Arabidopsis thaliana: one gene and its partner. The protein of the gene in region 1 interacts with the protein of each later gene in a pairwise test. Each region holds a gene or a part of one and is shown on either strand. Other genes may lie near its edges. The genes, in order: AT1G66650 and AT3G13670.

Region 1 (4,427 bases):
TATGTTATGCCTTAATGTGTAATGTCACTTCTTTTGACTCGAGGTCATGTTTTTGCTAATCAATAATTCTGACGTTGAGTAGAAAATATATAATGTAGAACAAAAAATAAAAAAAATAAAACACAAGATTCTTCAGTTTAACCAAAAATGGTATAAGATCTGTGTAAGCCCGAATGATTAAAGCTATCTCCTGGAAACTAAACTATACTAAACTAAATTACAAAACTCCTGTAAAAATAAGGTTTATCTCTAGTCATAGTAATACTATATAAGTTTTCTATTTAGTCATGCCAATCATTTTTAAATATGTTGCATCAAGAAGCAAAATAAGCGCCAGTGGCCCATTGCAAAACTGTGAACACAAAAAGAGGAAAGTGGAAACATATGATGACTTATCTTACGTACTACTACATATGCTAATATGCTATATATTTTATCAAAATGTAACAATTTATAATGTGGAAAGTGGAAACTATTACATGTTAATTAACAATACAGCTGATGATCTGATATGCTTCGAGCACACCTTCAAAGTTACGAGAATATAAGCGCATATGCAAATCTCTTAAATTTGGCAACATGTTTATATGTATTATGATAAGATCCTACGACTGATCGACTTCTCTTTTTATTTGACTGTAAAACTATTTAGTTTAGGGCTAACAATAAGGAAAGTTACATGATGATCATTGCGTTTCAACAGATTTGGAATTCTCCAAAAAAAAAAAGAAAAATTTCAATATTGGAAAACTCTACTAGAGTCCCAATGATATGATCTAACGACAAAACTAAACTTCTAACTCCATCTACTTCTACTGACCTAACATATCTCAGATATGAGTATAGTCATTTTTATCGCCAATGGAAATCTCCATCTTCATGTGATCACCATTCACCATATAAGATGGAATCAACAAGAAGTCCTCCTGAGGCTGCTCTTCTTGAGATCTCAATTTCTGTATATTCTTCACCTCCAATCCAAGTCTTAGTGTGCTATACGGTCTGAGTCTAGCTAGACTGCAGGAGAATTTGCGCACTTCGGGAACCATAGGTGCAATATGGCTGACCGTCGCATACACCCCGTGTGATCCGATGAAACCTTGAACTACAAACAGATTCCCTTGTTTCTCTTCTACAAAAATGACCATCTTATCACTGCTGTCCAGATCCAAGCCAAAGATTACAGGACGGTCGAACACAAACGAGTTGATATCACCCGGACTCACTTTGTGTGTAGCGCGAAAGTGGTTGATGAGATCCTTGTAGAAGCCAATGTAGTTACAATCTTTTATGGGACATGAACATGGCGCAAAAACACAAACTTTCTCATGGCTTTGCAGTTGATTTCCATACGTGGTGCTCTGTTTACACCCGTATATTGCATTTGAACATGAGACTAACCCTGCTTTTATAACCTTCTCCATGGCTCTGCATCGAACATCCCCTATAGGCAATTTGCAGAACGAGCATCTCTTCTTCAATTTGATGCAGCACAAGAAACACGCTAGATGCCCATTATTACACTATACGCAATCAAACAAAGAGTTAGCTAACCAAATCAATACTCATTGACCAAAACTAGACTTACCCCAATAACACAAACCAAAAAGATTCGATTTTTCCACTTTCTAGTGAAACTCATTGACCTAAAAACATTTGTAACAAAGAAAAACCAACACTAGAGAACAAACCATGGAAATTTCTGTAACTAAATTCATAGAAGGATACAAAAACTGTGACCTTTCAACTTAACTCAACCAATTGGAGATAAAGTTAACTTAGCTTAGCCAATTAGAGATAAAGTTGTGACCTTATAACTTAGCTTAACCAATTTGGAGGTAAATTTGGGACCTTTATGTAACTTAGCTTAAACCAATTCAAGATAAAGTTGTGACCTTTTTTTTAACTTAAGCTAAGCATCTTCTCATTTGCAATTTCACTAAACCCTAATTGAAAGAATCGATTTTTCTGAAACTCGTTGACCTAAAAACATTTGTAACAAATGAACAAACAACACTAGAGAACAAACCAACATGGAATATCTGTAGCTTAATTCATAAAAGGATACAGAAACTGTAACCTTTTAACTTAAGCTCAACCAATTAGAGATAAAGTTATGACCTTTTTAACTTGGCTTAACCAATTGGAGATAAAGTTGTGACCTTTATTATACTTGAGCGAAAAACTTCTCATTTGCAATTTCACTAAACCCTAATGGAAAGAAGAAGAAGAAGAACAGAACCTGAAAGATTGGTTTTTTCAATGGGTCGAAGCAATTGGGACATTCAAGAACATTCGAATTCGGGAGAGTTACGGATTTGGGTGATGAAACCCTCCGTTTTCTGCATGTTCGAAGAACATCTCCGAGCGGTTTATCATCCTCCTCAGAATCGCTATCATCGGTAAGCACCACAAGGGTTTTCTCTTCTTCTTCCCCGGGACTAGGGTCGTCGACGGAAACAGAAGTACGCCGTTGCCTCTTCGTTGAGCTACGGTGGCTTTTTCCTCCTCCGTCGTTGCGTCTTCCCAATTTCGTCATCTCTCCCTCTCCCTCTCTCTCTCGGCCACTACTTAATGAGACATATTGAAGTGTATTAAGTTTGAGTTCAAGTCGGTACCAACTAAATCAGTCGAACCCGGACCAATACAATTAACATTTTATCTCTAAAAAAGAATTTTCACATAACACATGAAGCAGGGTTTATGATCCAACGACCGTCTACTTCTAAGTTATAAGAGCAGAGCAAAAGAATTGAGACTTTGAGAGGATTCTTCAGATGTGAATAAATTTATATCCATAGGCAATGCAAATCTGCATCTTCCAGTGGTCACCGCTCAACATTTTAGGCGGTATCCACATCAAGTCATCTTCAAGATGCATTTTCTCTCTCACTTTCTGAATTTTCTTCACCAACGATCCACTCCTTAGTGTGCTATACTCGTTGAGCTTAGCCAAACTACATGACAAGTCACGTATTCCCGGAGCCATATGTGCAATACGGTTGACAGTCACATAAACACCTTCCAATCCCTTGAAAGCCTGAACAACAATCAAATCACCCTCTTTCTCTTCCTTAAATACAACCGTCTTCTTCCTACCAAGGTTCATGTTAAAAATTCTAGGACGGTCAATCACTAACTGGAAGTGGATGTCGTCTTCACCCCAAACGTGTGCAGTACTACAAGCATGGCTTTTGAGATTCGAGTATGAACTCACGTAGTTGCAGTTCGATACAGGGCAAGAACATCGGACAAACTTGCAAACCTTCTCATGGCTTGACTGATTACAATACGTGGTGGTTTCTTTACACCCGTGTTTCGCATTTGGACACGGGACTATAGATGCTTCGATAACCTTCTCCATCGCTCTGCATCGTATATCCCCGATGTTACATCTACAGAACGAGCATTTCTTGTTCAATTTTTGGCAGCATGACGAACAAGCTAGATGCCCATTACTACACTGTGCACACAATAAAAACACCATAGACTTAGCCATAAATCATCAACCACCAAAACAGTCTTACTACACAACAACCACCAGAGAGTTAGCCAAAACCTTTAACACCAATTAGCTAAATATATTATAAGCTGTGACCTAAATGTTCTTATTCTGCAATTCCATTAACCTAATAAGCTATGAATCTACAAATTGATTATACAAATATGAAGATTATGAATCAAAGAAGAAACCTGATAGATTGGTCTCTTGAGTGGTTCACAACAAGTAGGACAATCGAGAACATCTGAGCTCTGAAGCTTCACCGGTTGGGATGATTTAGGACTTCCAGATTGTTCATCAGTAGTAACGTTTTCTTCTTCTTCTTCTTCTTCGTCTTCTTCCTCTTCTAATTCTTCTTCTTCTTCTTCGAATTCTTCTTCATCTTCTTCGAATTCTCCATCTTCGTATCCTTCTAAATTACTTGGCTCTTCGAACAACTCTGGGTCTAATTCCTCTTCAGATTCATCGGGAGAAGGAGGAAGTCGTTGCCTCTTCGAGAGACGACTGTCGCCGGCTCTATGTCCGTCGTTTCCTCCAGATCTTGCCATTCCTAAATCTCCTCCGATGGGGTTTTCGCCGGCTCTATGCTGATCTTATGGGCCTTTCGTTTTAATATGGGGGTTTTGAGTAGCCGAACCAAACTTAACCAAACGGAACTAAGATTTTTGGTTCGGTTTGGTTCGGCTACTCAAAACCCCAAGCTGGTTGAGTTCTGCTAGACTGCATGAGAGGTTGCGTACTTCCGAAGCCATAGGTGCAATACAGCTCAGACACGCCCTCGAGTCCTTTGAAAGCCTGAACTACAATCAAATCATCCTCATTGTCTTCCAGAAAAACAACCATCTTCTTCTTACCAACATTAAAGGATTAAAGATTAAAGGACGATCAAACACAAACATGATGAGATGATCCTCGTTCCAAGAGT
Region 2 (6,897 bases), on another chromosome or scaffold:
ACATTCGATGTGCCAAGGAATGCGACTGTGGTGGGCCAAGCCCAAGGGATGTACGTAGCAGCGGCCCAAGGAGAGATAGGCTTCTTGATGGTGATGAACTTTGCTTTCACTACGGGGAAGTACAATGGGAGTACGATAACGATTCTTGGGCGGAACGTGGTGATGTCGAAGGTTAGGGAAATGCCGGTGGTCGGAGGTAGTGGAATCTTTCGATTTGCTAGAGGTTATGTCGAGGCTCGCACCAAGTCGTTTGATCTCAAGGCCGGTGTTGCCAATCTACATATACATTTTTGCAGCCATTTTAACAAATAAATCTTAGAGTTGAACTTATTTACAACCCAATGCCATTAGCATTAAATTTTTTTTTCAAAATAATTAATTTTACATTAAATTCTTAATTTAAATTGTCAATCACATTATCAATCAAATTTAATCCAAACAAACTGCACATCAATCCTTTAAAATTAGCATAAAAGTATTTTGTTAACAATATTTTAAAACAAAGTTTTTTGTTTAAATAAATATTGTTCTTACTAAACGTTTTTTGTTTAAATAAACAAATCATGTATTTGAACTTATTTACAATGTCATGCTACTGACATTAATTATTCAGGCATGAAAATATTTAATTAAAGATTTAAATCTTCTAAATTCTTGCTTTTAGAATTATTATATCATTACCTAAAAGGCAAAAAATATTAATTTTTTAATTATTATTATTTATATATTTAAAATTCATAAAACACTATTAATATTTAAATTTATAAAAAGTTTAATATATCAAAAAAATTAACATCATTATATAATATATAGAGTTTAAAAAATCTCAAAAAAAAAATCGTCATATTTTGTGATTCAAAATTTTAAGAATGAACATATATTAACTAATTGGCGAAAAATGTATGGATTCAACGTCCCGCAACGAATAAAATATTTTGACAATGATTCATAAATATATTATAAATAAGATCAACATTAATAAAATAAATAAATTTTTTTTGTGGACGGGTTTGGCGGGACGAGTTTGACAGGATGTTACTTAGTAACAATTGTAAACTATAAAATAATTTACAAATTTTTACATATATTAATTTTAAAAAATGAATTGTCTCCGCGGTGAATCTAGTGTTGAATATAATTGTTATATTCTGCATTACTGAAATAATTAAGTTTGGAATATTGTTCATTTGATTTCATTACTTATTTGTTTTTATGTCTCGTTTTGTTATGAGAGTGTTATTGTCTTTTCCCAAGTTAAATAATGTATTTTATCTTGTAATGGTTTGATTTTATTCATCTAAAAAATAAATAAATAAGTAGTTGTTTATATATACATTAAACATACATTTTTTGGTCAAATTAAGTGGCACAAAGGCTCTACTCCGCGTTAATTTGGAAAATCATCAACTGATTAGCGAATAAATTATTTGAAATTTTGATAGAAAATAAATGTTCAAATAAATATAATGATTAGTTAGCCCAATCACGAGCTAATCAAACCTTAAAAAAAAAACACCAAATCAAACCTATTTATTGTCTAAAACCAATTTTGATATTACACGGAGAAATTAAATAATACATTTAGCTACTTTTTTGTTTGAAATAGAAAAGACATTCAAAATAGTAAACATATAAAACCATTGTAAGAAAAGAAATCAAATTTTTTATTTCTTAACAAAAACGTGAAACGTTTGTTTCCAAATTAGTCGCAAGTCACGGACCGTGTGACGCAAAAAAAGTCCATTCACATCATTATTACATAATTTTTGTCATAAGGAAAATTAATTTGATTTTTCCAAATTTTTTTGGTTCTTCCTCTTCAGAATATCTGACGTGGCATAAATATCGCCTTTTTCACATCGCCTGTCTTCTTTTCTCTCTCCATTTTGGGAACTTTCATCCATAAACTTCTATTTTTCTCATCGCAAACTTGAACCGTCGTAACCCTAAATCGCCATCTTCATCATCGGCAAATCGAATCTCCGATTATATATCAAATAGCTTACCAAATCCGACATGACCCAGGCCCTCGTTTTCGGAGGACTATAATGATCGGACTCTTCGTGTCCCGTCTCGATTGCATGGGGTTTGAGCTATGCCGGAGCTTCGCCGTGGAGTCCGCCGTGGCCGTGTTACTGATGCTGTAGCTCCCAATCAGCTTCCGCAAACACCTACAGAAAAGAAACCGAAGAAGAGTACCGTTAAAGCTCCAAAACCGGTTGCCGGCGGAGTTACAGGAGTTGCAGAGAGGCCGAGGACTAGATTAGCGGCGAGGAAATTAAAGGAGGAAGATAAAGAGATACCTCAGGAGATTCCGGTTGTTGTGCCGTCTAAGGATAGCGATATCGATAAAAACAAGGGTAAAGAGGTAGTCGTTGAAGAAGAGAAGAAAGATATGGCTATTGGTAATGATAGTGGTGGCTCTAACAAGGCGGCTGCTCAGGAAGAAGAAGGAAATACTGCTCCTTTCCCTGAGAGGGTATAATTGATTTGCATAGTTTTTGTGTTGTTTGGGGTTATTGAACTTTTCATTGTAGGCTTGCTTATCATCTTTCTATGGTAATGACTAACGATTCCGTATCAGGTTCAAGTTGGAGGATCACCACTATATAAAGTTGAGAGAAAGCTGGGGAAGGGTGGTTTTGGACAAGTATTTGTCGGACGTCGTATTAGTGGCGGTAATGATCGTAGTGCAGGAGCTAGCATCTTGGAGGTAATATAACTCAGTCTGCGTTTACTGCTGTGGAGGATTGTCACCATAAATATCATTCTATTAGCTTAGTTATGCTTACAGTGTCTCACATCTTCACTTTCTTATATAGGTTGCTCTAAAGTTTGAGCATAGGAGCAGCAAGGGTTGCAACTATGGTCCTCCACATGAGTGGCAGGTTTACAAGTGGGTGTTTCGATTCTCCTGTCTTTCTTTCAATGTTTCTTAAATTCATTTACCTGGATTGTAGGTGCTTCCTTGACTTGAAATGTGAAATTGACATTTTACTTTTATTGTGAACAGCACCTTGGGTGGTAGCCATGGAGTCCCTAGAGTACATTTCAAAGGCAGGCAAGGAGACTATTATGTCATGGTACTGGATTCCCCCTTTCTCCTATTTCTGTTTTTTTCTCCTGTCTGTATCATTGAAGTTAGATCCTCTCTTCTTTGTTTTGGCCTCAGGTTATGGACATGCTTGGGCCTAGCTTATGGGATTTATGGAATACTTCAGGGCAAGCGTGAGTCTCCATTACACATCCTTGGGGAGCTCTTGTCTCTTTTTCAATTAGCGTTGTTTCCATACATGAGTATCCTAAGTTAATTTGGATTCTTTTGGAATTGTGACTTGAAATGTGGTGTTACTCCCTGTTTTTAAAAAAATACATAAGTCCATACTGAGTAACATTTTGCTTTTAAAAAATCGACTTCCCTAACAATTCTTCTCCCCCTTTTTGCTTTGCAGAATGTCCTCGGAAATGGTAGCTTGCATTGCGGTTGAATCACTTTCCATCCTTGAAAAGATGCATGCAAAAGGGTTTGTAATTGAACTTTATTTTTGTTTTTGTATTTAATTAGGTTGTCCGAGGTTTCTTCTGATATCCTGTTTGGAGTCTCGGCACCTCTAAGTTCTTATGTTTTCTCTCTATTAACTAGCCTAACAGGTCATGTTTTACTTCGGTTTCAGTTATGTGCATGGGGATGTTAAGCCAGAAAATTTCTTACTCGGCCAGCCTTCAACGTCTCAAGAGAAAAAACTGTTTCTTGTTGATTTGGGACTAGGTTGATTTCATTCTCTTTGTTATTCTTGCTAGGTTCTTCTTTACCTTTCTCATTTTTCAACCAACTTTTCAGCTACAAAGTGGAGAGAAGGTGGTAGCGGACAACATGTTGAATATGATCAACGTCCTGATATGTTTAGGTAATATATTTTCTACTGTTACCTAATATAATTTGTTTTATACTCGCTCTTACCTTTTGTTGAATCTCTCTCTTCTTAATTTTTATAGAGGGACAGTTAGATACGCAAGTGCACATGCTCATTTAGGGAGAACTGCTAGCAGAAGGGATGATCTGGAATCATTAGCATATACACTGATCTTTCTTCACCGAGGTAGATTGCCATGGCAAGGATATCAGGTACTGCAGACCTATCATTTTGTTTTGTAGAATCATGTTGTTGCATGATTCTTTCTCTGCTAATCCTGTCTCTTACTCAATTTTCAGGGAGATAACAAGTCATTCCTTGTTTGCAAAAAGAAGATGGCAACATCGCCGGATATGCTTTGTTGTTTTTGTCCCCCTCCTTTCAAACAATTTCTTGAGATCGTGGTAAATATGAAATTTGATGAAGAACCCAACTATGGAAAGTTAGTATCTCTGTTTCAAGACCTCTTGGGCGAAAATCCGGCAATTAGGCCTATAAACACAGAGGGTGCTCAAAAGGTGACATTTTCATGCTGTATATCTTTCCCTTTCGTTCCTATTTGGATATCTAGGAGTTGTTGTTTAACATCTTGTAATTGTTTTCTTTTGTGCTAGATCATATTCCAAGTTGGCCAGAAGCGAGGTAGGTTGAGCATTGGGGAGGAAGAAGAAGATGCCCCTAGGAAAAAGGTCCGTCTAGGAGTCCCTGCAACGCAATGGATATCGATTTACAATGCCAGGCAACCAATGAAGCAGAGGTAAAAAAATTCATGGTTAATTATTTATACAGTCAGTTAACTGCTGGGACTGCGTTTGTGTCTCATTTTTTCTCTTGGTTATATTATAATCTTGGATTTTTGGCCTTAATGTGTCTAAAACTATTTTTGGACTCACAATTTATGTGTTTAACCAGGTATCATTATAATGTGGCTGATATAAGACTGGCACAGCATATTGAGAGAGGTATTGCAGATGGTTTGTTGATAAGCTGTGTATCATCATGTTCGAATCTCTGGGCATTGATAATGGATGCTGGAACTGGCTTCACGCACCAAGTCTATGAACTCTCTCCTGTATTCTTGCACAAGGTTGTCTGATGTTTCTCTGTTAGTTATTTTTATATCTGTGTTCTGTCAAGATGATCTTACCTGAGAGTGAATTCTGTTTTGAATCAGGAATGGATTATGGAGCAGTGGGAGAAGAACTACTACATTAGTTCTATTGCTGGTGCAAGCAATGGAAGCTCCTTAGTTGTCATGTCAAAAGGTATCTACACTTTTCATGAATACTTTTGAACACTTTCGTCATTATGGTATTTTACTAGTCTCTGAATTTGTGGCTTATTCTATGTTTGGTTTTCAAATGAATTATGAAGGTACGCAGTATACACAGCAGTCTTACAAAGTAAGCGATTCATTCCCGTTCAAGTGGATAAACAAGAAATGGAGAGAAGGCTTCCATGTAACCTCAATGGCAACAGCTGGAAATCGATGGGGTGTTGTTATGTCCCGCAATTCTGGCTACAGTGAACAGGTTAGACTTCACCGATATAGATGAATTTCTTCCGTTTCCTTCAGTTTTGGATCTGTCGCGTTGATTTCTAATTCTCCTGTTTTCGCTTATATCTCCTCTACAGGTTGTGGAACTTGATTTTCTGTATCCAAGTGAAGGCATCCACAGGCGTTGGGATGGTGGATTCAGAATCACATCAACAGCAGCCACAACCGATCAAGCTGCTCTCATCCTAAGCATCCCACGTCGTAGACTTGTTGATGAGACACAAGAGACGTTACGTACCTCTCAATTCCCCAGCACACACGTCAAGGTGAGTAGAGCAGCTATAAAAGATTACTAATCAATATCTTGAACTCTTTTTCTCCCTTCCCATGAACAATACCGGAGATGCAATTTTCTGTTGTGCAGGAAAAATGGGGAAAGAATCTCTACCTTGCATCGTTAAGCTATGGCCGAACTGTATCTTGAGACTTATTAGTAAAAACTGTTGAAGGACGAGAGAAATATGTTTCTAAGTCTCGGCTCCTATTCCTTATCCAACCCTATGGCCTCTCAGGCTCTGTTGTGCTTCTTCTTTTTTTTCAGTTGAATTGTGAAGCAAAAATGTGGTGATTGTGTTGTTTATTCCCCCCTTGTGAAGGGGATTGAGCCATAATCACCAGTTTACCTACACATTTCCCTCGAAATTGCTATATTTAATTTTTAAATCAAGAAAAGATATTTTTGTCACCAAATATTCTATAGTTGTCCAATTCTGTAACCTAATTATCGAATTCATATCGAAACAGGCTGTTCTCTCCATACACGACCTGAAACCTTCAACTTCAGCTCCTTGTCGGTGGTGTTGTTGTCGGTAGAGAAGAACAAAGCCAATTTGCGAGTGATGATTAAGCCATCTTGACTATCACGAACCGTCTTGTGACTGTCACGAATGCTCCTCGGCACGCCTTGCCATGTCAGCTTTCTGCCATTCCCTCCGACCTGCAAACTATAGCTGAAGCTCATTGCCTCTTCTTCATCTCCCATAAACTGCATGAAGGCCATGTACATTGGTGTTTTCCTCAGGTGAAACGCTTCGAAGTACAAGCAGAATTTTCGACCACAACAATCGAGAAGCTGCATCGTTTCAAGTGGGTTAAAACTTAAAAATTCACAAAGTTGCAGAAACAGAGCAAGATAATCAGTTATATAACTTACTGTTAACATCCAAGTAGCATGATGAAGATGTTTAGGATCATGATGAACATATCTGTGACTGAAACTACGCCCATCACTCATTTCAACATTGTGATCATTCCTTAGATGCAGTAGTAGCCTTTGAATATCTCCTGTGACATCACACTTGGCTCCTGAGTGTGGACAATTGTACGGTTTCTTCTTAGGGTTTTCGATGTGGTCGTTGGGACACTGCAATAGGATCTGTATATTACTTGTTGTGTTCTTATTGTAGTAGTATCAATATGATATGA

Evidence for each region.
Region 2: the proteins of AT1G66650 (region 1) and AT3G13670 interact in a protein complementation assay, tested with the Arabidopsis thaliana proteins (one large-scale study listed by BioGRID).

Annotation. Positions count from the first base shown.
Region 1 is NC_003070.9:24,859,283-24,863,709, forward strand, and holds AT1G66650 (Protein with RING/U-box and TRAF-like domain), read right to left. Parts: upstream 2,540-4,427; coding exon 2,243-2,539; intron 1,524-2,242; coding exon 831-1,523; 3' UTR 635-830; downstream 1-634. Other genes in the region: AT1G66660 (Protein with RING/U-box and TRAF-like domain), read right to left, coding at 2,774-3,463, 3,694-4,050. UniProt on the Arabidopsis thaliana protein: E3 ubiquitin-protein ligase that mediates ubiquitination and subsequent proteasomal degradation of target proteins.
Region 2 is NC_003074.8:4,467,339-4,474,235, forward strand, and holds AT3G13670 (Protein kinase family protein), read left to right. Parts: upstream 1-1,814; 5' UTR 1,815-2,095; coding exon 2,096-2,479; intron 2,480-2,584; coding exon 2,585-2,713; intron 2,714-2,822; coding exon 2,823-2,896; intron 2,897-3,013; coding exon 3,014-3,083; intron 3,084-3,172; coding exon 3,173-3,228; intron 3,229-3,452; coding exon 3,453-3,524; intron 3,525-3,674; coding exon 3,675-3,769; intron 3,770-3,841; coding exon 3,842-3,908; intron 3,909-3,996; coding exon 3,997-4,126; intron 4,127-4,213; coding exon 4,214-4,432; intron 4,433-4,528; coding exon 4,529-4,671; intron 4,672-4,826; coding exon 4,827-5,001; intron 5,002-5,088; coding exon 5,089-5,179; intron 5,180-5,223; exon of another isoform or gene 5,224-5,288; coding exon 5,289-5,446; exon of another isoform or gene 5,447-5,549; coding exon 5,550-5,738; exon of another isoform or gene 5,739-5,836; coding exon 5,837-5,896; 3' UTR 5,897-6,202; downstream 6,203-6,897. Other genes in the region: AT3G13662 (Disease resistance-responsive (dirigent-like protein) family protein), read left to right, coding at 1-267, 1,127-1,132; AT3G13672 (TRAF-like superfamily protein), read right to left, coding at 6,203-6,835.